5 linked regions of the Oryzias latipes genome follow. The protein of the gene in region 5 purifies or fractionates together with the protein of the main gene of each other region. This does not show direct contact. Links are inferred from orthologs where the notes say so. Each region holds a gene or a part of one and is shown on either strand. Other genes may lie near its edges.

Region 1 (6,194 bases), on a different chromosome or scaffold from region 5:
TCTTTCAGCCACCCTTCTGCTGTCAGCTGTCTGTCTGAGTGTCTGCTCTCAGCCAATCACAGACAGCCAACGTCTGTTTTCCATTGCAGTAAGCAGGGTTCAGCACCTCCACCTGCTCGCCCAGAGACTTTTCTCTGACTTTGTAAGTCTGCAGAAGCTGCATGGGGACTGAGGAGTCCTTCAGCTTTTCCTGATATTTCTGTGTACTTGTGTATTTTAGGAGAGTTCTCTGCAGACTGAGGAACAACGTCAACTCAGCAAAATCTTCTTGCAGGATCACTGCAACTCTGATATCAACATCAGCCCATTAGACAAGCACGGCACACAAAACAGTCCGGTCAGTTCTGAAACTTGTGTACAGAAATTGTTGCACTACGATAGTAAGGTGATAAAGAATCATGTGGGAAAGTTTGGTGACTGTAGTTTTAGGATGTTCAGAACAGTTTTGTTCTGAAGTATAAAAGCAAAGACTTTCTTCCAAAATCATTGTTGTAACTTGAATGTGATTATGAGTTTTCATGACTAAATCATATCAATGTAATTGTTATTTTAGTTTCATTTTTTTTTAGAGATTACACTCCTCAGTGTCTCACTTCCGTCTCTGTCAGCAGCAGGAGATCTCATCCCAATCCCATTACAAGGACACAAAAATCTGATCTTTTTTCTGTTGAAACGACTTTGTAGGTCGTTGTTCGCGTTAAGACAAAAAGCAAGAGACACTTGTTGTCAGTTTTAATTGTTTATCAAGAGTTTTTGAGGCCCGAAATCAGAGTCTGTGAATATCTTGCTAACATTAAGCAGCTGTTTTTGTTAGCCATTGGCCTCCTGCTTAAACTGCTGCCTTATTCCGCTACGATGGCAGTAAAAAGTCGTAATCTGTTCATGAGATGCAGACTTTTACTCTGACATTTATTTGAAATAACAAGCTTGAAATACACAACATTGATCAAAATAACAAAAGAAATAAACTTCCAATCCTGATAGGGAGACAGCATCCAATTTCAATTGAGTCTAAAATCACTTGATCGGGCCGTGAGGGACATCCATAACCTTTACCAAGTGATGGTACCAATTCACTACCGTGTACCAACCTTTGCTATCCTTGAACCTTGACTATCATGCAATACTATCTGCAAAGCTTTGGCGTTTATTTCCTGTCAAATCCTAAAGGTTGTTAAGTGAAAATCAGGACTTTGTCCATCATCTCTGATCAGCTGTGTATTTCTATCATTTCCTGTCATGTGTGTGTTGCCAACTCACTTGGCTTTGTCAAATTCTTTAGATTAGTGTTTCTTAGAGGTTACATGTTTTGTTTTGTTGTTTGACAAAAGGTAACATTTGTTTATGAACCCCTAACTCTTGCTTTTTGTCATTGCTGGCATTCTTCCCCAGGGACTGCAGCTGACATTGAGCTCTGTTGGTTCATTTGTTAAAAAGTTTATTAATGTTGACTGTTCTTGTTTAACTGAATAAATAAAAAGAGGCGATGCAGAAGCATGGCAAAGTACCCATTTCGGACAGAACATCCCAGTAAAGAAGTAACAGTTAAAACTGATGAGAAGAACACAGCTACTCCTCATTGATACCAGTGTTTGGTTCCAGGTTCAGAAGCTGCTGTCAATTTGCTATGTTCTGGTGGAATCCTGGGAGTTACCCAGTCGCTCTTTGTCTGGGAGTTCTGCTCCAAGGAACCAAATCTCACCCAAACTGGCTGAACTCAAGACAGGAATTCTTCTTCTGATCAGGGTGAGTACATGCACAAACCTGCCACACATGACTTTTGGCTTTGACGTCAATTGTGCTACTACTTGAACTGTAGGCCAATCAGAATGTGGCTGAGATATATGAAGACACCCTGTCTCTTCCACTGGGGGAGTACATAGACTATTATCATGGACTTGGAGCCGATGGCTCACTGCGGCGGACCTACGAACTGCTAGCTTGTTTCAAGAAGGATATGCATAAGGTGAGAAGGAGGATAGCAAGTGTGATATGATAATGACAATGATGACAAAGAAATGTCTGTTTTTGCAGGTGGAGACCTACCTGACTGTGGCTAAATGTCGACTGTCTCCAGAGACAAACTGTATCCTGTAGTCATGCTGCCCCCCACCATGACAATAGACTCCGCTTTTAAATAATTATGTTAGCATTAGCAGGAATAGGAGGTGTCATAATAAAGTTTGTGTTGCATTCTCAGTGTCTCTTTTTCTGAAAACAACAGGAAGCTTAAAGAAACCATGGAATAAAAATCTGAGTTTCTCGTGTTCTCCATACTCCCACCTGTCTTATTCTACATGACAGGGTGGGCAAAGGGGACCTCATCGTAGGAGCAGCTTCACCAGCTTTCAGCTGCAATGAAGCTGCAGCATTTAAGTTTGGCTTTTATTTTAACATTCATGTGCTTCATAAATGCTCTGATTTGCAGCAAAGAAGCTGTTTAGGAGCGGGACAGAAAACTTTTTACTATCTGTCACAAGTCTTCACTTATCTCTCTGAGACCCGTCAATGTCATTTTTACCCTTTCAACCAACAAAACCCATGGGCTTCAGTTCTTTATGAACGAAAAAGGTTTTGTAAAAAAATGTATATTTGCTAATAGAAAAAAAGAATTAAGAAAAAAATTACAAAAAATGTTCCACCAGGGTGTCCATCTTCTGCCTATAGAACTTTTCAGTGTACAGGAGATTGAGGTTCATTTACAAACAGCTGCTTGCTGAAAGCATGCTTTACAAGATATGAAAGCAATATTTCTCTTTCATTAACATTTTCCGCTTGGACCTACACTAAACAATTTGATCTGAAAGTGAAAAGTTAAGTTTCACAGAAAAAATAATGCAGCTAATCCAAAACTCAAAAAAGGAATATTTGAAACAGTAAATTTTAGTTTTGAATTAAAGAATTAAAAAAAAACAACACCAAATTTATACATTTAAAAAAGTTATGCAAACTTTAAGGTGATTATTAAAAAAGTGTAAAAGAATATTTTTGTAAAAGATAAAAAAATTGAATGTTATTTCGTGACATATTTTAGTATTTAACATTAACGTGTTTTAACTTTTGTTTTGTCGAATGAAAAATCTTTCCTTCAAACAAACAAACACGGTGCAGATTTTGCTCCATAACAGCTGATGACATTTTCCGCTACTGACTTAAAAAAGTGATACCAAGACTTGCCAGCAGTAGGCGTCAAACAGCTATTCTACCTGCTATTGCTGTTGCCGCTAGAGGGCAGTGTGTTCTAGGCCTATGGCTCGGCGTTTTCCGGCAAAACTCGGAAGGTAACGGTCGGACGTTCAAATGTTCGGCCGCATCGGCTCCTCGCAGAGATAGAGCTGAAGAAAGCCGTGAAGAAAGCAGGAGAGAGGTCCCTGGAGCAGAGATACAGAGTCCTAAAGCGGGATGACAGTGCTGCAGGAACCTGTCCAGGTAAGAAAACGCCGTTAGGTCGTTGTCACGAACCGGAATACGAACATTAGCCGTCACCGGCCTCAGCATCTGGCTCGCTCAGGCTCAGCCCGAGCTAAAACAGCATTCTTCCGCCGTCGTAGGCCTCGAAGTTCGCCCGGAGCCTTTTCTCCGCGCCTTCCCGGCATCTGCTCGGGGCTGAGCGGTGTGCTTCTTTTCGGTCTGCGGGCCAAGCTTCGTAGAGGGCCGGTTTATCCGCTCCATGGCGCGTAACTTGGTCAGGACGCCGGTCCCCCGGCTGTCGTTGACACGTAAACGGGCTGGAACGTTTTCTCTCCTGGTAGCTTCCGCAGCAAAGAATCGAGCGGAGAAGACAAAGATTTGTCCCCGCTGTGAGACCGTCACTGGGTCAAGTTTAGTTCAGGTTTGGATAGACTAGAGGTGGTCCTCAGGATTTTGGAACACTTGTCTGGAACGTTAGATCTGCTAGCTAACCGGCTAGCGCCTTAACAACCCGCTTTCGACGGCAGGAATAAGGTTCTGTAGCTTCAGACTGAACCGAACCGTTCTCCAGGTTCGCTGTGGGGTTCCCGCAACAGTTCTGCCTCACGGCACCCGCAACATATCACGCTTAGCGGGGCATGGTTAGCGTCGGCTAACCAGCTAGCTCTAAACTAGCTTTTTAGCTAGCTGTTGGTAAACGGAAATACTGCATGTAACCAGCGCCGACTGACGTCACAGCTCAGGTGTGCCGGTCCCTGATCAGGCAGGAGGGTATGGTAATGTTAGAGCTTTAAAAAAGTATTTGCCTTTAAACGTAGATCAAAGTTCTGATCTAATATTCAATAAATATCTAATATTTAAAAATGATGACGCAACCTGTGCCAAAGCAGAACATCAGCAACTTGTGCCAAAGCAGAACCACAGTAACCTGTGCCAAAGCAGAACGACCGTAACCTGTGCCAAAGCAGAACGACCGTAACCTGTGCCAAAGCAGAACGACCGTAACCTGTGGCAAAGCAGAACGACCGTAACCTGTGCCAAAGCAGAACGACCGTAACCTGTGCCAAAGCAGAACGACAGTAACCTGTGCCAAAGCAGAACGACAGCATCCTGTGCCAAAGCAGAACGACCGTATCCTGTGCCAAAGCAGAACGACCGTATCCTGTGCCAAAGCAGAACGACAGCAACCTGTGCCAAAGCAGAACGACCGTATCCTGTGCCAAAGCAGAACGACAGTAACCTGTGCCAAAGCAGAATGACAGCATCCTGTGCCAAAGCAGAACGACCGTATCCTGTGCCAAAGCAGAACGACAGCAACCTGTGCCAAAGCAGAACGACAGTAACCTGTGCCAAAGCAGAACGACAGTAACCTGTGCCAAAGCAGAACGACAGTAACCTGTGCCAAAGCAGAACGACAGCATCCTGTGCCAAAGCAGAACGACCGTATCCTGTGCCAAAGCAGAACGACCGTATCCTGTGCCAAAGCAGAACGACAGTAACCTGTGCCAAAGCAGAATGACAGCATCCTGTGCCAAAGCAGAACGACCGTATCCTGTGCCAAAGCAGAACGACAGCAACCTGTGCCAAAGCAGAACGACAGTAACCTGTGCCAAAGCAGAACGACAGTAACCTGTGCCAAAGCAGAACGACAGTAACCTGTGCCAAAGCAGAACGACAGCATCCTGTGCCAAAGCAGAACGACCGTATCCTGTGCCAAAGCAGAACGACAGCAACCTGTGCCAAAGCAGAACGACCGTATCCTGTGCCAAAGCAGAACGACAGTAACCTGTGCCAAAGCAGAATGACAGCAACCTGTGCCAAAGCAGAACGACAGTAACCTGTGCCAAAGCAGAACGACAGTAACCTGTGCCAAAGCAGAACGACCGTATCCTGTGCCAAAGCAGAACGACAGTAACCTGTGCCAAAGCAGAATGACAGCAACCTGTGCCAAAGCAGAACGACAGCAACCTGTGCCGACTGTTTTTTTCTTAGCTGCACTCAGATTTAGAACCCAGTCGCGTTGATTCTCAGTTTAAAGTTTAACCCGTTCTCTTTATTTTTTTATGCACCGCTACTTAAAGGAGAAACCATAAAAGCATTTTTACTTTTTGTTACTAGTTGCAGTAGAACTGGTCTCAAATCTACTATTATCATTCACTGATTCTGAAACACTTCAATTTAGTTTAATTGTGTCTGTTGGCCACTTCACCTTAATCCTGTTCCTTAAATGTTGTTATTGCTTCTTCTTAAATTTAACATCTAAAATAATCCAGACGTTATTAGAAAAGTGTTTCAATTAGAAAGATGACTTGGACCAAACTCTGGGATGTTTGGCTGTTAAGAAACACAAACCTTGAAGGAGAACTAAACTGTTGACCTTTGATTTCATCAAGAAGATTTAAAAACTGTTGAATGTGTGTTCGTTGTGATTTCAAGACGTTTAACAGGGAAGACTCATTGTAGCGCAAAGTAGGGCTGGGAATCACAGGGTACCTCAAGATACGATACGATTTGCGATACATTGCTCACGATAACGATACTATCACGATATGGCGAAAATCTCGTCTCTAATTACGCTCGATATATAAACTTTAAGAAAAAGAATTTGAAAGGGTTATTTTGGAAAATATTTCCCCATTTATTTTTTAAAAACCATGATAATAAACAACGTGTCGTGTGTCCTATTTGGTGTAATGAATAACAGACTTTTGTGTAGCATTGCTGAAATCAGTAACACTCTGTCTTTGACAACCAATGATAATTTTCTTTTGGAAATATTTGTA
Region 2 (5,553 bases), on a different chromosome or scaffold from region 5:
TATTGCAGCAACTCAAATTCCACTGACCTTCATGGCTACTTCCTTGGGAAGAATAAAGCGAATCACCTGAAGGCAGTTCCTCACTGAAAGACATTCAGAGCAAAAAAAAAAAATTGGCAGAAAATCAGACAGATTCAAATACTTTAGGTTTATAGGATTCTTTATGTTTGTTTCAGCAATACTCAGTTTTCTTTCCTAAAAATGCAGTTTGTTTACTTTAGGGATTTGAATTTTAAGTTAGTGTTAATATAGAAGTTATAAGCCAAAAAACCAAATATCCATCCAGATAGGGTGTGACTTTCTGCCACCTCATTTCAAAAATGGTCATTCACATCTTATTTTAAAGCTTAGCCATTGCAGATTTTGTGTTAATGGTACCTAATTTATATTCATTCAAAGTTGGGATTTATATGTCCAGAAATTGAAAATACCATAATAAATAACAAATATTTAGAATATATAAATAAATATACATAGAATTTATATACACAGAGAGATTTTAGAATACACAGTTTTTGATGACATCCATTCAGTTGTGCCAAAAAATCTAAACCTAACTTTGAGATAAAACAAAAAAAGGAAATTGAAAAATTATCTCCACAAGAATAATTAGACAACCTATGTCCCCTTACATCTCTGACCAATCAGTTCTGTAGTCCACATTACCCGGCTATCTTAATTAGACGCCCAAAGCAGGAAAGGTCAAGGGATAGGTGGATAAATGCCATTTAATTAAAGGGAGGAAGGTTCATCCGCACGATCGATTACTAAATAATGAGGCACAGTGCTTGGCAAGTCTAAGAAGAATGTAAGGATGGCAGAGACAACAACTCAAAGTGACCAAGAAAGATTTTAAATGAGCATGTACAAACCATAGAAAGTATCTTTTCATTTATTTAATTGTGATTTTACCATCTTTGTGTATATGCTTTTTCAATTATTTTTCTTTAAATTGCCTAGAGTGCACACACATAGATGTGCACACATCACAGTGTTTAATAAAGATAATCCATTGATAAACTATCACCCAAAGAGAGTAACAGTGATTCAGATACGGGTGAACATTTCAAAATATAAAGGATGTACCTATTCTATAAAAACAACAACATGTGATCATTACCAAAAATATAAGTCATTTCATCAAACCCAAAAACTATACAACAGCAAAAACGTTCTTTTTTTGTAATAATGATTAATAATTAACAGTAAAAGATGTGACAGTCCTTTGTTAATTGAAAATTATCAGAGATATGGACACTTGGATTGTGCATTAATCATTAATAATGGTTTGGTGCATGCACATCTGTGTTTGTGTGTTAGAGGCTTTTAAGGGTATCCTCAATATAACAGGGTTATACGTCATTTTGAAAACACAGAGCGGCTCTCAAACCTAATTTCAATGACCTGAGTGCTGTGACTCAGTCATGTAAGTGTGTGGTCACATGGAAAAACTAAACATTTTAACAACAGATACCATTCCCAACCAACAAAAACCAGTAAGTCTAAAATACATCTGTGTTCCCAGCGTGGGTGTTCGCTTACCCAAATCAGACGTGGCAATCTCAGGGATGGAGATCCTCAGCATCGAACCACTGCTCAGTTCCTTGAAACATCACACAAACGCAGATGAGTTTGCCAAGAATATTTCAGATTTATAACAATGTCATGACAGGATAATTTAGTTTCTACAAGCAGCATGTCACAGCATTCTGCTTTTTTAAAAGTGCAGCCCGTAACCAAAGCAGCTAAATTGAATTATTCCTTCCTCAATTTGATTTTAAACAATTGTCCTTTTCCAATTGTGACATGAAAAATGAAATGTCTTGTGTAAGAAACTATCCGATTGGATGGCAGATGGAATACCACAGCATGAAAACAGTAGTCAAGGCTTTTATAAAAAACATTTATGTGTAAAATAAATCTTTAACAAGGTAACAGAAACAACAATTGAAATAAGATTTTATTTAAGACATAATTATGGAAAAATATTGCACATAAAGTTCATTTGGCCACCCATTTGGTAACCCCAGCTGTAGTTTCACTGATTTTATAGCTGTTCATTTCTTTGCTTTAAGAAGCTTAATGATAATTTCTTATCACAAAGTAATAACTGTTCTAACTACGGTAAACTGTTAACAACCCAAAGGGGATATTTTACTGAATTTATAAATTTCTGGTGTGATACTACTTTAAAATACATATTTCAGTGAATAATAGAGCAATGCTAAAAGTTAGCAGAGAGTTGGGTTATTTAATGAGAAATGTGGATGTTTATAAAATAAAGAACCAAATTAATTCGTCCTAACATTACAGAAAGGACACTTTGGATCCTAAAGTGTCAACATTTTATGTTTCCGGCAATTTAAACCAAGCAAAACGAATGAATCCATCTGCAAAAATTCCATGCTCTGAAAATCCCAACTGAGTTGCACTGGCAACAATTAGTCATCAGATTGATGTGTCAATGCCTCAAAGAGATGGCAAATAACAGAGTCAAAAGAGCAAAAGCCTGAAGACTGTTTGACAGTTTTTCACTGAAGATTTTATGGCAATTTGTGTGCGAGCAAGAAGTGTCAGCGTCATTTTCTACGGTCCTGGGGCTTTAAGGAATGAATAATGACTCAACGAACCCAGAGGCCACAAACACTGATTTGTTTCCTGGTTCTCATTCACAAATTGGTCAGAATTTCACATGAATGTGCACGTGACACATGGTGCTGACGAGAGAGGAAACGTTGAAAAACTACTGTTTTATGTAGGTTGTAAAATAAAAAATATGGGAAATTCCCCTCCTTTGGTATAGTCTAATTTTCACTACTACTAAAATACTTTTTATATGTACATGTTTATGAAGAAAAAAAGGATCAACCTCAGTTAAACATTTCTATTCCAGAACATAACAATTAACTGAATAGGATGAGTGCAACAAATACTAAATTTGGAAATAAATTATATCCTTTTAAGAAATATAAACAAAGCTATGAAAAGTAATAGACTTAAGTTTTTAATAGATAGACAACTATGCAACTCCCCATGGCACATCAAGATAAAAATAAAAATAAAGAAAAAAAGAAACTAGATATAGAAATGTATTTGAAAAAATAATTGTTTTGATTTCTTTATGTCTCTTGTTCTCTTCTACATTACTTTTACTTCTTCCTTAATTAAATTGCTACATCTGAAATGAAATGAGAAATTAAAATAACAACATTTAATAAAACAATTAAAAATACAGCCTTGCATTGTCTTGTTTTCGCCTGAGGAAGTCTGACTAAATACTGAATCAATTCAAATTTAATTTCAAAACCGATAGTTAAGTAAAGCAGATCTTATAACTAGTTTTACAAACAGACCAAAGCACGGTTAGTTTAAGTAACTAGTAATTAGGAGTTCTTTCCATACAAACAAAAGTTTGTCTGAAAATTAATAGAATTATTTCAAAAGTAAAAGTAATGCATAGCTTGGTTTCTAAGATCTTAATGATATTATTTGGCAATTTTTAGAAAATAGGAGAACTACCGTAATTAATTAAACTCTCTGGGAGGGAAGATTTTTTAAAGAAAATAAAAAATAAATGATTTTATACTAATCCAAACAACAAAAACAGATCTACCAGAGTCACTCTGTTGAAGACAGGATCCCGCAAAGTTTGAATGTTAGGTGTAGCTTTCTGAAAGATGTAATCTTCTAAAAATGAAGCCTCATGGTGTTTGATGTTTGGACCTCTACCATCTGATAGGGGTGAAGGCATGTTGTCCTAAGAAAAACAGACATCATACCATTTTAATAATATTTAGTGACTTCAGAGAAAATAACATATACATAAAGGAAAAGATTAATCAAACTTCCATACTTTAATTCGTAACTTAAAAGAAAAAAATCCAAAAGCATATTGGCAAAACCAAACAGTAAAATTGCAGCATAAGCTGGTACCTCTTCAAGTCTCTGAATGTGTCTGTGGCTGGAATTAGCAGGTGTGCTAACATTTTCCAGAGGTGTGCTCAGATGGGGGGTCTGGCTACTTAAACTGAAAGAAGGTGACAGAAGGCCAGGGACGAACACTTTACTGACCTAGGGGGCACAAAACCAAACCAAACTTAAGACCACAACACAGAGATCCCGTCTCAATGATTTAAAGGAACGGTTCATATGTGAGCATCTTTGTATTAAACTGCTATCATGTAGCAACACTTACCCTGGTGATTCCTGTGTAAAGAACCAAGCTACCACAGGCCTCCAGAACCAACATGGCATTTATACTCTGAGGATGAAAAAGAACATGCAGTTCTCAAAGAAAGTCAAACAATCTAACTTAGTTATCAACACTTTAATGCAGATTGTTCAGCTCAGGGGTCTAAAACATATACATGCAGAGCCACATGCAGCTCTTTTATCCACTTATTGTGGCTCTTTGGCTTTAAAGAAAAATGCAAATAATGGGTCTGCAGTTTTGGTTAATTTGTTTTTGGTTAATTAAGTTTTGCCTTTTGTGCTTAGATTTTTAACATGTCAGATAGATAACTGGTTAAAAGGTTTAATCTACTATTGAATTGATTTATAATTAGAATAGACAAACAGCGCACAATCTTATTTTCTGCTGCACAACAGTATCTAGTTAATATTCAGAGGAAAAGTTCTTAAAATACATACTGTAATTGTATTTATATGTATAGATGTTTTTTAAGAATTCTAACTGTCATTGTTGTTTTCTATAGTAAACAAAGATAAAAGAATGGCAGCACACCAATGTCATAAAAATAAGAAAATACCATGTTGGACTCGCTTTTTCGCATTTTTAATTCAAGTAAATCTGCAGCAGCAGGAGGATCTTATTTGACACTGGGTGTATTTTATTTTGAAAGGAACCTGTACGCGCTACTTTCAAAAGTAAAACAATTTTAAAGTCTTATATATAAAAAAGTCTAACATTGTTAAAATGTAACTATTGTTTATATTTAGAAGCTTTATTTTATAAATAAATTGGCTACAAAAGAATTTAAAAAATTTTTAATGGTGAAGCAGGATTTTGGTTCTGGTTGGGTTTTAGTGAGAAAGTGGCCTAAATTGCTCCTTTATTAGTGTTAAAGGTTTTAGACTCCTGGTTTAGTCAAAACCAATTCAACTTTTGAATTTCAACAGTTACAAATTCTAATCAAAAATTGAGGATAAATTACTTAAACCCTTTCACCTCATTCCATCAAAACCAAAGTAGAACTGTTTTTATTGATGTTTTCTACAGGCCACATGGCACGGGCTCGTGCTGTATTAGGAAGAATTGTTGAAGTACAAACCAAGCATCAGATCAGGAAACAAAGGTGATCTTATTCACTTTTAAAGTACCGTAGCATGAATGTTAATACCCTCACCTTAGTCAGTAACAAAGCAGGTATAACACATGTTGAAAAATACATTAAAAAGAAGGTGCAAACACTGATCATATTTAATTCAAATTTTAAAAAAATATGAATTCATACCTCCAAAGGTTCTGCATCCTTGGCAGGAATTGCTGTGACGAAGGGGAAGATGAGTTGAGACGAATCGTTGCTTTCAATA
Region 3 (6,204 bases), on a different chromosome or scaffold from region 5:
ATAAATGATCAGTTTCTGGAGCAACTGAAGCAAAACATAAATTTGAAGCTGCGTAATCCAAAGGAAACGAGGGCAGAAACCAAACATTTTCTGCAAGTTCAGAGAATTCTAGAGCAAAAATTTAAGAGTAAAACATCTGAAGAAAAGCTGCTTCATCTGAAGATGACTCTTTATGTGAGGATGCAGGAGGGGGGTGGGGTGTGCTCATCTCAGCATAAAGCTTAAACTGAGCAGAAAACCTGAAGTGGTGTGGACTGTGGAGGCTGTACACTGAACCAAAGGAACCCACTTTTGTCCTGGAAGTGAAGGATGATGGCGGCCTGGATGGGCGACACGGTGAGGTTGGTCAGGATTCGGTCCTCCAGCTCCACGTCCAGAATGACGGATCCCAGGTGAGGCTTCCAGCTCAGGGTCCTCATGGCCTGAAGAGCAGGAGGAAATGAGGATCCAAACAGAACCCCGTTCAGGACAGACAAACTGGGTTTGAACTTTAAACGCTGCGGTCGCATCAAAGCTGTGGCTTCAAGACGAGCAGAAAATGAACTTTGAGAACAATCAGATTAAATATTAGTTCATAAAGAGGATCCACAGCTGTCTGTCTGTAGAATCCTCCAGAAAAAACAAACAGCTGGACTCCACCTTCAGTTTCTCGTATCTGTGGGTGTAGGCCTCCATGGCCCGGCACACGACGGGGGGCAGCTCCAGCTTCTCCTCCTTCAGCGTCGGCCAGAACTCAGAGGACAGGATGATGGCGGACAGAGGCAGCGGCGGCTGCTCGTCTTCGCTCAGCCGCGACTCCTCCTCCCGGATGTTGCCGTTGATCCTGCGGGAGTCCGCCATGTCCTGCAGAGGAGCGCCGCATCAAACTGCAGCTCCTGGCGGAGGAGAGTCCAGCTGCCGAGTGTGGGGGTTACCTTCAGCATGACCTCGCAGTAGTGCATGTGAGACTCTCCGAAGCGAAGCTTCAGCAGCTCCACGTTCCGGATCTCCCTGGAACAGAGCAGAGTCCAAAATGACGAATGTGAAGAAGAAAATGAACGGATGACGGAGGTGATCAGACCTGGCGGTGTTGTAGTTGAGCTGCTGCAGCAGGCGGTCGGCCAGGACGCCTCTGTACTCGTCGATGAAGATGTCCTTGCTGCCGTAGATGCTGACCAGCAGGCTGATGATGTCTGAGGAGCGCCGCTTGGAGCCCAGCTTATCTGCAGAAGGGTCAGAGGTGAGCCGAAGGGCCGCAGCGGAGCGACTACCGTCGCACCACGCCATCACCGACCGGGCACGGCGTCCGTCGGGTCCGGGGTCCAGTCCTCCGGGTCGGTGCCTTCGTCGTCGCTGTCCTGCATCTCCAGCGTCACCGGGTCTCCGCGGGACAGCTCGGAGGCCAGGTCGGTGCAGCCCTCCGCATCTCCGGTCAGACCCGCCACGATCTGCCGCACCGTGTCCTCCCGAGTCCTGAACAGCAAGAGGCAGCGCTGCGGTTTAGACGGTTCAATGAACACATTTCTAACTGAAGCGGGTTTCCTGAAACCGCCTGTCAGACCGCAGACACGCAAACTCACCTGAGGTACTTTCTGATTGGCTGACAGGCAACCTGCAGGATGACCATGGACGGGTCCAGCTCTCTGAGGGCTTTGATGGCTGAGATGTAAACGGTGAGGATGTCAGAGGTGTGAACTCCTGCACACAAGTTGAGGATGAGGATTATTTTTAAGAGAAAAGCATTCAACAGAATCAGGAAACCTTTGGAGGATCCAACAGGACAGTCGGTCCTCCACAGGTTCTGGAGAGTCGTGACAGAACTTTACACCCACTGAGCTACAGGTTTTATTTCCCCTCACTGCTGCTAAGCCGCCGCTCAGGTAGAAACCGGCATCTTGGGTACCGACGACCTGCTGATAACGACCGGCTTCTGTGGTACCGGCCCGCCGCTGACATCTACTCCCTGCTTAGCTACATACAGACCTGCTGCTCGGTTACCAAACCACTCGGTTACCAAACCACTCGGTTACCAAACCACTCGGTTACTTACCCGGGTGCAGCAAACGGCTTTCGAAGGCAGATTTCAGGGAAGTGAGGAGCTGCTGTCGCTGGTTAGTTCTCTCCAGGCAAAACTTGAGATCCTCAATCGCAGCTTTGGATTCTGGGAAATCTGCACGAGATATGGAGCAAAGATGTTAGACAAAAACAAACAAAAAAAAAACTCCGTCGGGTTGGTGAGAGTCACCTCTGATGATGCTGAAGAGCTCCTCGATCCTCATGTTGACGTAGATCCTGCAGAAGAACTGGTGCATGTGGCACCTCCACTGCTTCATGACCGGACTGGCCAAAGATGCTGGTGCCGGACCGTCTCCCGACCCCTCACAGGCAAAGACTTTCCCCAGCCAGCCGAGCACCAGCTCCAACCACTGCAAGGCGGAAAGGTTCAGACGGAGCCGACCAGGGAGCTGCTACAACGGATGCCTCACCTCCTGGAAGTTCAGCAGGAAGGAGCGCTCGTACTCGCCGCGGCAGTGCTGCTCCATCCGCTGCTCGATGAGCTTGTGGAGGATGGAGGTGACGGCCTCTGAGCTGACCCAGTCCAGCAGCTGCAGTTTGGACCTGCAGCCACAAACAGCAGGTCAGACTCTGACAGACCACAGGAGCTGCAAGGAGCTTCGCTCTGGTTCTCACAGGATGTGGCTGAGCTGCTGCAGCTGCTCCAGGGCCTCCAGACACCAGCACTGGTGAAGCGGGACCCCACAGCCCGGACAGGCCCCTCCCTCAGAACCATCCGGAGCCTCTGCCCCATCCTCGGCGTTCCCCTCCTGCTTCATGTAAACAGAGAAGGTCCGGCTGTAGAACTCCAGCACACGCTCCTGCAGGACAGGAGATGGCGAGAAGAGCAGGAGCGCTCTGATGGTCGTGAAGGCCTGCTCCTTGAGCCCTTTGGGTCCCGGCCCGCTCAGACCACAGCGGCCCTCCTGCTGCCACGCCCCCAGCTTCTCCAAACCACCTAAGGAGCAGACGTGTCAGAAATGTCCGACAGCAGTGGACCCCCCGGTGTCTGGGTCTTACTCAGGAAGGGTTCCAGGCGGTCCAGCAGAGTCCTGAAGGCGGTGAGGAGAACCCAGGCCCGGCCCCTCTCCTCCAGCTCGTTCTCCGGCTGCTTCAGTCCACACCAGAACTCTGGAACCACGGAGGACGACAAACGCATCTGCAAGGTCTCCAGCAGCCACACCCCGAGAAGAGGAGCCAGACCCCGACGGCAGAGCAGAGCCAGGCCGTCCACGAGGTTCTGATCCGACACCGAGAAGCCAGGAGACACCTGCAAGAGAACCCAACGCAGAGCCTCAGCATCCGTCCAGAAGCTGCTGTACGTGCTGATGCCAGAGCAGATCCTGGGCTCGGATTGGCTTTTACTTTTAGTTCAAACACAGCAATGAAGAACTTTGAACCAGTTTTTTCTAAACTCAGGTGTGTTTGAAAGGAGGAGCAGATTTAAAAACGCCTTCAAAGCTTCATCTGTGACTGATATACAAATGAAAATATCACGCATATAGATGCAGTCTAATGAGTCTGATAATGATCCACAGATTGTTTTAAATGTGTGAGATTCATCAAAGTGAACTACCACCAGATTTGGAGACGTGAATAACCTCGATAAACTGACGTCTCACTCATGGTTGGACTCCGACACTGAGGTTCGGGGTTCGGGTCCACTCACCAGAGCCGCAGAGACCGAATCCCATGCAGCCGCGACACCCTGGACCGGTTCGGGTCCAGACATTTCCACAGACTCCGAGTCTTCCATCATTTCCTCCATTTTATGGGTTTTTCTCCTCAATTAACAAACCGGGCGGAAGTCCAAACAGGCGCGTGCCGGTTTTAAGAGGTTTAGTTGAAGGTACAAATACACATTATTTCTCCAAAAACACAGTAATATACAAAGAAAAAGATACTATTTATTAACAAAACAAAACCACGTGACCCCTCCTACTGAATGGCGGGTTCAGATCTTCTTTGACTTCTTCTACTGTATTTAGCGCTGAAAGATGGCAGTGCTGCCACCTACAGTTGTTAATGCGCATCGTTCTGTTTTTTCTTCGTTGTTTTAGTTGTTTGCATGATGTACGTGCAAAAAATTTAAAAGTTGTAAAAAAAAGTAGTCAAAAGTATTTAAAAGAAGTCTGTTTTGCATTTTGCATTTTTGTGAACAACTACTGCCCTCGTGTGGACAGAGTGGAAAACTGCAACACGTAATGTTTGTAACAGCAACTAAGAGCTGGAGAAAAATTATTTACCAAATTAAGTTAATCTTTATGTAAAATAATCAACATCGATCAAATTAATTTATTCAAAATTAAATGTCTCAGGTTGTAATAAAAAAGCATATTTATCTTATCTTATCAAAATTGTAACATTTACTAAAGTATTTACGAAATAAATACAATTAAATTAATAACTCAGAAAAAATGATTATCTTGTTGAAAAACTTAAAAAAATCAAATTTTACCCGATCAAAAATGTTTTTACGTGTGAGGATGGGTTATGACATGATATCTGCCTCAGTGGGCAAACAGATACAACAGAACAATGATTTATAATGGAAAAACACACAAAATGTGATCACAGTCAAAATCCTTATCGCCCTCTTGTGGACAAACTGGTGAACTGCAAGACAAGTTACATCCACTATGTATTTTCACGGAAACTATTTATTTTCACGTTTTTGAAAATGTCTCTGCATTTTCTTTACTGAATAAAATATAAGTTTAAATGTTAAAATAAACAATTAATTTCTAAATAAACTGTAATTTTTTTACCGGTAATTTGGTTTAGCAGGAACCAATTACCCTGTTTAAAAAAAAATTCTAATTAAGTTTGCAAACATCTTATCTAAGTTTTCCCTATAGACAGACGGATTAGTGGTTAAACATAATCTGTCTTATTATTAACTGTGTTTGCTTTAATTAACATATCCTTGCTGTTGCACCAACATCAAAACTGTTTTGTTCGTTTAAAGAAAAAACAAAAATTATCTGCCGACAAACAGCATTTACTTCCTTAAACGTTGTACTGAGCTATTTCCAATATGACATTAGGATTTCATATTTTAAATGTAAATGTTGAAAAAAATCTATACTTCTATTTTAACTTAACCTGAAAGAGGAGGCTGTAGTTAACCCCCGGAGCATAAAAATCTAAGTCTCACTTGTTTTAAAATATCAGCATTAATGTGATGTCACACAAACAACATAATCGTTGTATATCAAATTGTTTTTTACCATTTTTCTCACTGTGAAAAAATAAAAAATATAAAAATAAAAGCGTGCTTTTGTTCTGAAAGTCAGATAAATGACGTAACTTCCGCTAGTCGGCAGCAGAAACATGATGGCCGTGGAGAGCGAGTGAGTGTCTCAACAGTTCCTGTGATTTGTCTTTAAACGACTTTAAAAAAAATCAAACAGAGATTATTTAATGTCGCCTCACATAATCCGCTCTTTAATCTGAGTCACGTTTGTCCCGTTTGTCAGAAACGGGACAGTTAGCTAAAGGAAAGCTAACGAACAGCTGCTTATGAAACAGTAAACACTGTCTCCAATCAGCTGTTCTGTGTCCGCAGTGTTCAGTCGGAGATCGAGGTGCTGCAGTCCATTTACCTGGAGGACCTGCAGGTGGACCGGAAGCAGGACGGGTGAGGAACCGGATCTGCGTGCTTCTTTCTCGGTTCTTTTTCCTTTAATCTGTTATAATATGAAGATTTCTCGGCACAGAAAAGTCTCTGAGATGCGAAACGCTTTGACAAAAAACCACAAAGCAGGTTTTTATGTTTCATTTCCGGGTAAAATCGTGAAGTCTGTCTCTACAATCCATAAAAAAACAGGGAGATTCCACCAAAATGGAGTCCTGCTGTGGATCTGTCGGTTCCGTTAGCTGGATTCTAACCAGTTACGCCTCCTTTCTGCAGTTGAACAGAGGAGTTCTGGTGGACCTCCTGCAGAGAGGTGATGCTGCTCCTCACTGACTCCAGGGGAGCTGCTTCAGAGTTTTTGTGTCAGGGCTCAGATGGGGATAGGATGCTGGTGGTCTCCATGGCAACAGCACCTGCAGTCAGCTGTGATGCTAAAGTGCTGAGAGGAGAAGCACAGTTCGGTTCAAACGGAGAGGAGAGGAGAGGAGAGGGGATGGAGGGCAGAACCATCGGGTTTGTGACCCAGAGGGTCT
Region 4 (4,147 bases), on a different chromosome or scaffold from region 5:
AATGACATCACTGATTATATTGGTGATGACTCTTAAAATTAGTCAATATAAAAGCAGCGCATTTATTTTCCTGTGTGGGCTTCGTTCGATACTTAAAAAATGCCAACGGGTACCGCTATCATCCTACCAGAGAAAGTGATTAGATATTATCTTACATAACTAAATAATGAGTTTCACATTTTCAATTACGTTTACTAAGAAAATATATGTTTGTGTGTTGCCCAACGTATTACGGTATTCATGTGTATCATTGGTAAAGCTAAACTCAAAAGGGCTGTGAGCCCCTGAATTCATTATTCCTTTGTTCTGCCCGCTAAATAACGCCGAAGTTGCTAGCTTGCTAGGACGGTCGGCGTTGCTGGTCTGCGTGGGTTTTAGTTTATCTTTTATTCCAACGTGACGTTGAAATCATAATTTTGCCACACAAATGGGCATCTAACTCAAGTAGATTGCTCACGTCCTGATAATTTCGGTCATTAAAGCGCCTGTTAACCAGAATCTTACAGCGTAAACATAGCTTCACAAAAGCTAGCATTAGCCTATTGCTGCTACATAACTAGCTGTTTTCTCCCTGTAATTTTAATATCAAAGAATGCGATCACATTACCTGCCAATTGTTTTCGAAGAAGTAATGCTGATTGTTCGGTCATGGTACGCGTACGTAACTAAGAAAAAAACTGTCTGTATAGACAAATATCTTCTGGCACACAGAGAGGAGGTCCTGCGATGCTGCTGCTGCTGCCGCCGCTTGGCTCCGTGTTTTGACACAAGATTCAGGTGCTAGCTTAAGTGCGCATGCGTGCTTCAAGCTGACCACGCGTTCGTGTTGTTAAAATATCTTTCTGCCAATGAATTAGACTTACAAAAGGACTGCATTAAAAATACACAGAATACCTCGTTGTTTGAAATGTTTTCAATTTAGAAATTTTATGTTGGGGCTTTTTGGATATTTGAATTCCGTATGTTTGTTGACATCTACATGTTTGAAGAACTCGTTCGGCACACGAACATAATAATACATGGTTGAAAAAAATAAACAATTATAAAGTAAGCCTTTAATTTTCAATTATTCACGCGAAAGTCGATTTTTGAGCTAAATACAAACATACAGTGAAAAGCAGAAGATGCGTTCATAACCATCGGAAATATCAAATTCACATTGAAGACTGTTACAAAGAACAAAAACAAAGTAACAAATGTTTAAATTTACGTTCATCATGATGAATGTGTAAACTAAAACGATTTAAATAAAAATACTAAGATTGTATGAGGGTGAATTGATTGCGCTCTTAACCTGTCATTCGTGAATCGTCTGCTAAAACTAATTTGTACAGACCTACAAATGCAGCAGTGCACGGAAGGAAGGCTGCTGAGCGCCATATTTAATACATCAGAGGCTAGATATTTTTTAGCTAAAAGTTCTAACTTCACACCGAAACCTGTAGAAGAGCCTGCATTTTTTCGGTAAAATGAATGTTATTGATCACGTTCGGGACATGGCTTCGGCCGGCCTTCACTCCAATGTTCGCATTGTGAGCAGTTTGCTGCTGACGATGAGCAATAACAATCCGTAAGTATGGCTTGACTGGGACCCGTCTATTTCCCGAATGAGTCTCTACGCAAGTGTTTTGTGGTTTTCCTCCGTTGTCGCGACAGTTTTATATATATGAAAAAAACATATTGTCGTAGTCTTTACGCTATTGTTTGAATGCGCAGCCTACACAGCTTCTTTCTACATGCTTAGCTTGTGTTATGAGATGCATACAGTTAGCCTTCACTCCATTACATAGCCATGTGGAGACTTTGGCAATAACAGTTTGGTGAAGTGTCATTGAGGGATGTTTGAACTCAAATCCCCCCACTTTGTTCACATGTATTGATGTTTTCTTTATTTACATTAATCAAATGTTTTCATTTTCCGGAGTTGATTAGATGTTACTATTTGTTCTTTCGCCACATTTATATTCAAGAAGATGTACCAGGGGGGTATTCCAGAAAGCAGGTTATGCTAGTTACCACGGCAAGTTTAAGGCTAATGAAGCGGATTATCTCAGTTTTCGGTACCAACAGTGGAGGTCTGTTTCACAGTATGTCAAGTTGCCATAGCAACTCATGCTCTGAACATAACCCGGTCTGGAACAGGTTTAGTTGAAGGTTAGTTTGTTTTCAGAGAGGTGAAGGCAGCATGGTGTGTCCATTTGAAGATGATTTAGTGGATGAAAAAGCTCAGATAATACTTTTTCCACCATAGAGGGTGATAAGACCACATATGGATGTTGGAAAGATAACATTTGTTACATTGATCTAACTTAATTATTTGCTTTAGTTGAGATAAATCTTTTTTGTTTTTTGTTAAGTCAGTTACGTGTCATGTTGCAAATCTGTTTTGATTCATGCATTTTATTGTTGTAAAAATGAGCATATCTGCAGGCTCAAACTTAAACACATGAGAGTTCAAGAAGTACAATAAATTAAGATGAAAAAACATTTAATTGAATTGGAGTGATATGACATTTAGTTAGATAAATATGTAAATTTGAGTTAAAAAAAATATTGAGTTGGATAGACGTAAAAAATATATTTAACTCAATTTCTTGTTACCAATTGAATTAATTCATTTAAGTTGGATAAGTTTTATAAATATATATATATATATATATATATATATATATATATATATATATATATATATATATATATATATATATATATACACATCACAATGGAAATGAGATAGAAACTCTTGTGTTTACTTTGTCCGTTCTTTTTCTCCAAGCAGAAACTCTCTTTTGCTGATGCAGCCGTGTTACTTTTTTAATCTTCATACGCCGTCATTCAAATCTCCGACTCCGTCTCACTGACGTATAGCGCTCTCTTTTTTTCACCACGCGTTTCCATGGTGACTCCGTAGATCGGCAATCCATTGAAAATGTCTTTATGTACTTGCTGTGCACGTGCATTAACCCAGGGTTACCAAGTGGAGCGTAATTACGCTAACTCATATCCGGTTTTTTGGAACCGACATACCCAGAGTAAGCAAGTTCAGGCGGATTTCAGCCAGAGTTCAGGCTTAAAGTCAGGGTAGTTTAAACATGCTTCTGGAATACCCCCCAGAACTCCCCGTAATCAAAATGTAATTTTTTATACAGCTGCTGTTTTCGTAACGTTGCACACTTTAAATGCGAAGCTAGTGCCATAAAATAGAGGTATTGTGCTTTGTAGTTATTTTTAAATGAAACTTGTTCGTTTTTGTCTCCAGTGAACTATTCTCACCGGCTCAGAAGTACCAACTGCTGGTTTACCACGCCGATGCGATTTTTCACGATAAGGAATATCGCAATGCGGCCTGCAAGTACAGCATGGCGCTGCAGCAGAAGAAGGTGCTCAGCAAAACATCCAAGGTTCGCACATCAGCTGGTGGAGCAGCCTCCAACATGCAGACACAGGTGAGGGCTTTATGCTTCAACACATTTAGGAAAAAAAAATATGGATGGATGGATGGATAGATGGATAGATGGATAGATGGATAGATAGATAGATAGATAGATAGATAGATAGATAGATAGATCTCAGAAGTTAATGGTTGCATCCCTACAATATATGCAAGAAAATAATAACACTGAAGACCATGAAAGTGTCTGCTGGCCTGCTGCTTTTGATCTATGACCAATACTGATCCTAGAGTGGGGAAACTACCTTTTAATCACTTGCATAGACACATTTTTGGCAGCAGACGTCTTTATCTCAAGTGACTCTTGAAGGGCACCTCTTGGTTTGTTTTTCCTCATCTTCAGGTAATATTCAAAACAGTTTTTACATTTTTTTGTGGCATTTTCTTCTTGATGGAGGACATATGTAAAGAAAAATTAACCTTAAAAAAGCATTTCTGAGTACTTCTTTATTCAAATCTTGGTGAATCAGGAGCAGATTTAAAGAATGCCGTTTGAAAAAGATTGTATTTGTTACGGCCACAAGCTCCGTGCTCCGCTCCAATCTGATACATCCACTTGCAGACAAATAGATCCGTGTACTTCTTTGTTTTCCCCCTCCAAGCTGGCATCTGAATCAAAACTATTAAGATGGTTGGATAGTTCCAATATTGCTAGCTATTTTTGTTGCACTAATATGTTTAGGTTGGGGCTGAAAG
Region 5 (6,317 bases):
TTTACTGTTTCTCTTTTAACTCGTTTATGTTGATTGCTTCAAAGCAACATTTAAAATCATTTATTTACTCTTTGAATTCGTCTGTTCATAATAAATAAAAAACCCATTTGTGACATTTTTGTTTATTAATTTTCAACAGTGGTTCATAAAATCTTTTTTTTTAATGAAAGGGTTGTTAAAACAGCAATAATGTGCACACTATTTTAACACTTTCAACAGCTGCCATTGACATTTACACAATCTATAAATCATTTAAAATATAGTTGGACAACAAAGAGAGCAACAACAAAACTTGAAATACACAAGATAAATTAGCTTCACTAAAATGCCAAACAATTATTAAATAAAAACATAAAATCCAGTTGTAATTCAGTCATGAAGAACATCAGGATGCGCTCAGCGTATGCCGAGCATCTGCCTGCTCTTGAATTGGCACATTTGCTCCATCTCGCTGAGTTTTTGGGCGCGTAGCTTTGCAGCCTGCAGTCTCAATTTCATCAAGTCCTGAGACGTTGCACTCTGGCGACCCTCTGGCTGCTCATTCTCTATGTTTTCACCAGCAAAGTGGACCTTCTTCTTCCCAGGAGACAAAATCTCCGCATCTAAAATCAAACAGCAGGGATCTGATTAACACGACTTGAAAGCGCTTTTTAATAATCAGGCAGATTTCTTTTGTCAAGAATTTGGTTTGAGCTGAGAATGGCTTTAAAACTTGTTTATTGAATAAAAGTTCATTGTTAGATTACAAAAAAAAGATACTTTATTTACTTGATATAAACACAATAAATATTTCATTCATTCATAAATTCATAGCCCAGCTGTATCTAAGTTCAGTAAGTCCAGAGGTCTTTGTTGGATTCCCCTACCTATGTCTTCGAGAAAGATCAGGTCCTTCTGCTGCTGCAGCTTGTAATTTCTCAGTAAACTCTCTGCTCTAAAACAGAACATAAAAAGTAAGAATTGACTCAAGGATTTTACACGATAATTCAAAAACCAGCAGTTGTTACATTATGCAACAGACAAAAAGAGAGACTACCTTGCAAGCCTTTCGTTTGTGAGCTGTTCACGAACACACAGCTGTTGCTCCCTTCCTGACAACAGAAAACACAATTTATTTGTACAAAAAGAGAGATTATTGTTGAAAACAAAGTTTAGAAAAAAACACCTTGCATTTCAAACTTTTGTGTGTGGACAGATGTGATGGCAACACTTTGGTTGAGAGGATGGATAATCACGTTCCGACTCCTCAAGCGTTTTATAAGGAACATCAGAAACAAGTACAGCAAATATAAAATCTACCAGATTGAAGCATTTGTGAATAAATGTATTAATCAAAGATTGCTTCGAAAAGGGCTGCTTATAATTATTAAGAGAGCAAGACACCCCAAACCCCTTTCTTTGGGATGAACCCATGCGTGGGAACAGAGAAATGTTTTCTAGTTCTTGTGCAATTTGGCAGCGGAACAGTTCAAGGCCTCAAATGTTGTTTCACAATTTCAGAAAAGTATCTCAGACTCTGATAAGTCAAATCCAAAGGACTGGTTTCTCATTGAATGGAGGCCGCTGCACTCAGAATAACCAAAGAACTATATTCTCCCCTTGATTTAGCCTCAGAAATAACTTAAAGCCTTACTCTCCAGCCTCTCCTCGCGCTCCTTCAGTGCTTTCTCCCTGTCCCGCAGAGCCTGTTCCCTCCGCCTGAGCTCCACCGCTGAGACGTGGGGCGCTTCACTCAGCCTCTGCGGGGGGCTGCTGGAGTCTGCCGACTTCCTTCGGGGTCGAACTTCTGACTTTCTCTGCTCATCCTCGACCACGACACTCAGCAGACTGCTCTGAAGAATAGACTCCACAGACGGCCTCAGGTAATCCTGTCAAAAAGCAGACTGGTGCTCAGCAGATCGTCTATTGCAGGATGAAAACAATCAATCCTTTATTTCAGACCTTCAAGTTGAGCATTCTGCTGATAAGAGAGTTCAGTTCCTCGGAATAACGGAAAGGAATTCTTCTAAACTTTCCTTCCCTGATCTTCTCTGCTAACTCCTTCTGGTTGTAAGCAGTGAATGGAGGCCTCAAAGAGGAAAAAATCCAAACATGAATTCATTAGATCAAACAGCCGAGGGAGCGGATGGAAAAGCTTAAAAAAAAAAACTTACGATAATGCGCAGAGTTCATACAGCAAACATCCCAATGACCAAATATCTGACTTTTCATTGTATGACATCCTATTTATTTGTTCCTGAATGAATAGAAAGTGTAAAAAACTAATCAATAACAAGTACAATATTTTTTTTACCTTGTAAATGTCCTTTAGAGATTTTTTTTAGAGAAAAAATAATTTAAAAAAAGCCAAAAATGTTAAATAACTTACTGGAGACATGTAGTATGGTGTGCCAACAAATGTCTTTGCAAAGCTGGTGTCGTGGTTCAGAATCCGAGCTAAACCGAAGTCGCCGAGTTTTACGTTCTGGTTTGCATCGAGGAAGATGTTGGCTGGTTTTAGATCCCGATGAAGGACGGTGGCTCTGCCGTCGCGCCGCCGGTGACACTCCTTTAGTGCCAGAGAAAGCTGCACCATGACTCGCAGGATAAACTGCTCCTCCAAGTACTTCCTGCCATTTAAAAACAACACATGATGATGCAGATAGAAAGAGGATGACTGCTTTTTCTTTCTTCCCATTTGCTCTATTTACCTCTCTTTGATACACTTGCTGATGAGACAAGACAGATCGCCACCTTCACAGTACTCCATGATGATGTACAGCATGGTATTACGGCGGTCTATAATGCGGTCGTAGTACCTCACAATGTTTGGGTGCTTGAGTTCCCTCAAGAGGTTGACCTCTGAGACCAGCATCTGTTTCTCACACTCAGCCATGGTGCCATAATCGAGCTCCTTCCACACAAGAATCTAGAGAGCAGAGATGCTTTAACCATCAAGAACATGTTCATCTTAGTCCTTTTTTCAAACTTAAAGTTCAAGTGTTTGAGTAAAAAATATTATGTTTTACTGATAAATGACAAAAAACATTTAAATGCTACATTTCCTTGATACTGAATTATGTTTAAAGATTTTTTCTTGTGAAATTAATGTCAGAAAAACTGTAATTTCCCAAATATTAAAGTACATTTGTGTCGTTATTGATTTACAGAGAAGCAAGTCATTGTTTTTTTTTTCATGACTTATCAATTAGATAACATTCACACCGTGTATTTATGTATCTTTATTTAAGAAAATACTGTATGCGTGTCTTGTGCCATAAATACTCACTTTCCCGTCACTCTTTCGTTTTATTTTCTGGCATCTTCCATAGGAGCCCGAGCCTATCGTGTACAGCACTTCGTAGTCATCAACACAGGACGGCATCTTGCCTTCGTCAACCGAAACCAACGTTAAAAGTTTCCAAACTTCACGTTAGCGTCAAATGTAAAGATAGGCCTTAGAAAAGTTGAACATCTAATTCAAGTAGTTACTTAAATTATGTTTTTTGCTCATCCAGATAATAAAGAAGTCCAAAGCCGATCTCCTCAAAACACTCGTGTTCTTTGGCATCAGTTGAAAACACAGGAAGTGCTGCTTCTCCGTTTAAATCGGTGCCAGAATTCTTACCTCTAATTGGCTCGTTCCCACGGGCACGACGGTCTCTGATTGGTCAAACAAGGACGCATTTGTTCACGTTGCTAAGAGCTGAAAACCCGCGAGATTAGAGCGGGAAGAAGCATGTTTATTCCCTGTCCACTAGAGGGCACCAAAAACAAGCAGTAGATTTACGGATTTGTTGACATATAATTGAACATACTAGATACAAATAAAACGTTTATTTGGGGAACGTGGGGAACAATTTGGGAAACAATATTGCTACAAAACACTTTTTTCGTATTATCCACATATAAATTGATTTTTCAAATAAAGCCAAGTGCACTTTTTTCTTTTGCATTTAAAATAACTAGTCACATGAGAACAATCCTTCGATTGAATTTAATAAATTTAACCCTGTCGGTAGCTTGTAAATGTACTTAAAGGTCACTGGCTCATCCAACAGCATTTTCTAAGCATGCATTCTAAGATGGATGGGAAGCAGATCCTACAGTCATCGGTCCCTTGATTTGACCTGCAGGGCAGTGAAAGACAGTGACCTCTCACAGTGCTCCTACATCTGCCATGGCTCTGAATTCACTTCATTGCTTCACTGCAGCAGGATGCCTTCTGGCACGACGGTTTAAGGAAAAAAATGCTGGCGTCACATTGTATTTTTCAGACTGAAACACAGAGCGAAAACATTCAAACGGCTTTGGATCATCTCTAGCATTGTGCACCTTTTCATCCCTTTTCTGGTGCTGTGACAGATTGACAGGTGGGAAGTAGCATGTTGGTAATTTCCAGCCCGTGAAATTGAAGCGTGACTGGAGCAAATCCTAACCACGACAGCTGGTTTTTGTGAACGTGTGATCCGTACTGGAGATGGATGCAGCGTCTGGGACAGTGGTCTAGCCTCTCAGTGGGGCAGCCAGCATAACAAGTCAGATTATCCCCACAACTCTGTCTGCTCTTGAGAGAGTGTTGGACCGGTCTGCCAAAAATCCCTCCGCCAAAGGTCACTGTTTCAAAAAGCTGGACATCAGCCAGGGACAGTTGTGAGGTGGAAGAGAGAGGAAGGAGAGACACCATTGGAAAACTGGCAGCTGAAGACAAGACGTACAGGTGGCTCAGGCCACTGTGATGTCAACTGCCCCCCATTAGAGGGAACGAGCAGAGCCCGAGCGACAATAACCCCCTCACCTGAGGCACAAATTGGTGTCGCAACAGTCGTTGTGACTTAAGACTCCTTTTTCTGGGTCCAGAAGCAGGAGCAGGAAAAGATAGCTCTATGGTTATTGCTACTTTTTCTATTTTTGTTGAATTTCATACAAAAATTGTGTTTTTTCCCACTAATTTATTTTTTGTATAAAAATACAGGGAAAAAAAAATCACAACTCAGGTACGAAACCTAAGGCAAACTCCAGTAGAGGATGAACACACTACAAAATACACACTCACTGGGGGGGTGCATATCGTACTCTCAGACTTAAACTATTCGTTATGTCAAGTTTGCCATGTTGACTTCTTCCCTCCTTATTGTGTTTTTAGACAATAATACACTAACTGAATCCTGCTTAGAGCTTTAACAACCTCTGCATCGTTGTTTAGAAATAAAGCAGTGTCGTCTGCAAACAGCTAAAGGAATGGTTCTCCATTGCTGTCATGAAAGAGGAGACAGTGGCAGAAGTTGTCAGTCAGACTTCCTCCCTACTTTTGCCAAATTATCCCTTGGTTGTGTTAATATTGTGTTTACTTTACACAATAGTTGCACAATGACTCTAATTTTTTGCAAAGTTTGATAACAGTTTCTTATTTTCACTTCTTTTTCCTCCCTTTTATGTTGATTTATTTTCCACACACATTTGGTTTAACTAGCTGGAAACGTGCCTGCCTGCCGTCTCAGAGGATGCTGCCGCCGCCGTCCATGAATGTCCACGTGTTCTGCAGCTTCGTTTCTCTGCACGAGGAGGATGACATTGAGCAGGAGGGAACACCAAACAGCCTGCTGATATTTTGGAAACCTTGATGCATATTTAATGTCATTCTCTTTTTGCAATTCGAACTTATCTGTAGGTGTAAGAGAGTTAGAGCTGAGGAATTAAGATTCTTCCTGGTCTGTTTGCAACAGGAACCCTAATGTTTACCTGCAGATCCCCTCCATCCGAGCTCACAGTAACAAAAACTCTAAAAAACAGTTTGAACTATGAAATGAGAGTATGCAGAAGGAGAATGTTTTGCATGGAACATGGCAAAGACAAAGTGTAGATATTTTCCTTCATTTTGGTGAAAGGTTTGACCAGCCGTCTGAACACAGTGGTGCAACCTTTGTGCTCAGATCGTTTGAACTTCCTTATAGGACCACGGAACTGGAAAACGTCTTCATTTTAATACTCAAAGCCGCTGGGAAAAGGCTACTGCTTCTCTGAGTGTTGATATTTGGAACCAGAACAACTTTAGTTTCAGGTTCAAGGTCTTCTTACTCAAACCAGCTCAGCTTGACAGAATCAGCTGATCTTCAATCTCCAAGTCTAATAAAGAGCGGAACACTTGTTTGGGTCATTTAGTTTTATTCCAGCACAGGCTGTTGGTGTTGTAAAATGGCAGCGCAAGTTGGACTTAAAGGAGAAGTACAAAATGGAAAAATACAGACAGTTTTAGTAAAATCACTTGGAATCCTTATTGGGACAATTTCCTAAAATCACATTTGAGAAAACACTCGTCTTTCCTCTTCTGGAAACAT

The links.
Region 1: the proteins of nek2 (region 5) and cdc27 purify together in Homo sapiens (affinity purification with mass spectrometry; 6 studies listed by BioGRID and IntAct, with this or other methods). This does not show direct contact. The link is inferred for Oryzias latipes from reciprocal best matches to the Homo sapiens genes NEK2 and CDC27.
Region 2: the proteins of nek2 (region 5) and anapc1 purify together in Homo sapiens (affinity purification with mass spectrometry; 3 studies listed by BioGRID and IntAct, with this or other methods). This does not show direct contact. The link is inferred for Oryzias latipes from reciprocal best matches to the Homo sapiens genes NEK2 and ANAPC1.
Region 3: the proteins of nek2 (region 5) and anapc2 purify together in Homo sapiens (affinity purification with mass spectrometry; 4 studies listed by BioGRID and IntAct, with this or other methods). This does not show direct contact. The link is inferred for Oryzias latipes from reciprocal best matches to the Homo sapiens genes NEK2 and ANAPC2.
Region 4: the proteins of nek2 (region 5) and anapc7 purify together in Homo sapiens (affinity purification with mass spectrometry; 3 studies listed by BioGRID and IntAct, with this or other methods). This does not show direct contact. The link is inferred for Oryzias latipes from reciprocal best matches to the Homo sapiens genes NEK2 and ANAPC7.

The regions. Positions count from the first base shown.
Region 1 is NC_019866.2:73,370-79,563, forward strand, and holds the start of cdc27 (cell division cycle protein 27 homolog), read left to right. Parts: upstream 1-2,616; 5' UTR 2,617-3,402; coding exon of another isoform or gene 3,403-3,429; intron 3,430-6,194. Other genes in the region: somatotropin, read left to right, coding at 9-142, 221-337, 1,603-1,746, 1,820-1,966, 2,035-2,097. UniProt on the Homo sapiens protein: Component of the anaphase promoting complex/cyclosome (APC/C), a cell cycle-regulated E3 ubiquitin ligase that controls progression through mitosis and the G1 phase of the cell cycle.
Region 2 is NC_019873.2:15,539,593-15,545,145, forward strand, and holds part of anapc1 (anaphase-promoting complex subunit 1), read right to left. Parts: coding exon 5,475-5,553; intron 4,262-5,474; coding exon 4,196-4,261; intron 4,072-4,195; coding exon 3,934-4,071; intron 3,758-3,933; coding exon 3,614-3,757; intron 1,604-3,613; coding exon 1,543-1,603; intron 84-1,542; coding exon 28-83; intron 1-27. UniProt on the Homo sapiens protein: Component of the anaphase promoting complex/cyclosome (APC/C), a cell cycle-regulated E3 ubiquitin ligase that controls progression through mitosis and the G1 phase of the cell cycle.
Region 3 is NC_019866.2:2,381,191-2,387,394, forward strand, and holds the start of anapc2 (anaphase-promoting complex subunit 2), read right to left. Parts: upstream 4,012-6,204; 5' UTR 3,803-4,011; coding exon 3,704-3,802; intron 3,305-3,703; coding exon 3,055-3,304; intron 2,993-3,054; coding exon 2,671-2,992; intron 2,599-2,670; coding exon 2,466-2,598; intron 2,406-2,465; coding exon 2,225-2,405; intron 2,150-2,224; coding exon 2,030-2,149; intron 1,678-2,029; coding exon 1,560-1,677; intron 1,453-1,559; coding exon 1,274-1,452; intron 1,203-1,273; coding exon 1,061-1,202; intron 991-1,060; coding exon 915-990; intron 844-914; coding exon 640-843; intron 423-639; coding exon 290-422; intron 1-289. Other genes in the region: E3 ubiquitin-protein ligase RNF25, read left to right, coding at 5,368-5,387, 5,603-5,674. UniProt on the Homo sapiens protein: Together with the RING-H2 protein ANAPC11, constitutes the catalytic component of the anaphase promoting complex/cyclosome (APC/C), a cell cycle-regulated E3 ubiquitin ligase that controls progression through mitosis and the G1 phase of the cell cycle.
Region 4 is NC_019867.2:25,467,751-25,471,897, reverse strand, and holds the start of anapc7 (anaphase-promoting complex subunit 7), read left to right. Parts: upstream 1-1,347; 5' UTR 1,348-1,469; coding exon 1,470-1,570; intron 1,571-3,259; coding exon 3,260-3,446; intron 3,447-4,147. Other genes in the region: ubiquitin-conjugating enzyme E2 G1, read right to left, coding at 608-650. UniProt on the Homo sapiens protein: Component of the anaphase promoting complex/cyclosome (APC/C), a cell cycle-regulated E3 ubiquitin ligase that controls progression through mitosis and the G1 phase of the cell cycle.
Region 5 is NC_019882.2:6,330,551-6,336,867, reverse strand, and holds nek2 (serine/threonine-protein kinase Nek2), read right to left. Parts: upstream 3,595-6,317; 5' UTR 3,365-3,594; coding exon 3,269-3,364; intron 2,909-3,268; coding exon 2,691-2,908; intron 2,610-2,690; coding exon 2,369-2,609; intron 2,237-2,368; coding exon 2,154-2,236; intron 2,069-2,153; coding exon 1,942-2,068; intron 1,869-1,941; coding exon 1,634-1,868; intron 1,092-1,633; coding exon 1,037-1,091; intron 935-1,036; coding exon 867-934; intron 603-866; coding exon 397-602; 3' UTR 107-396; downstream 1-106. UniProt on the Homo sapiens protein: Protein kinase which is involved in the control of centrosome separation and bipolar spindle formation in mitotic cells and chromatin condensation in meiotic cells.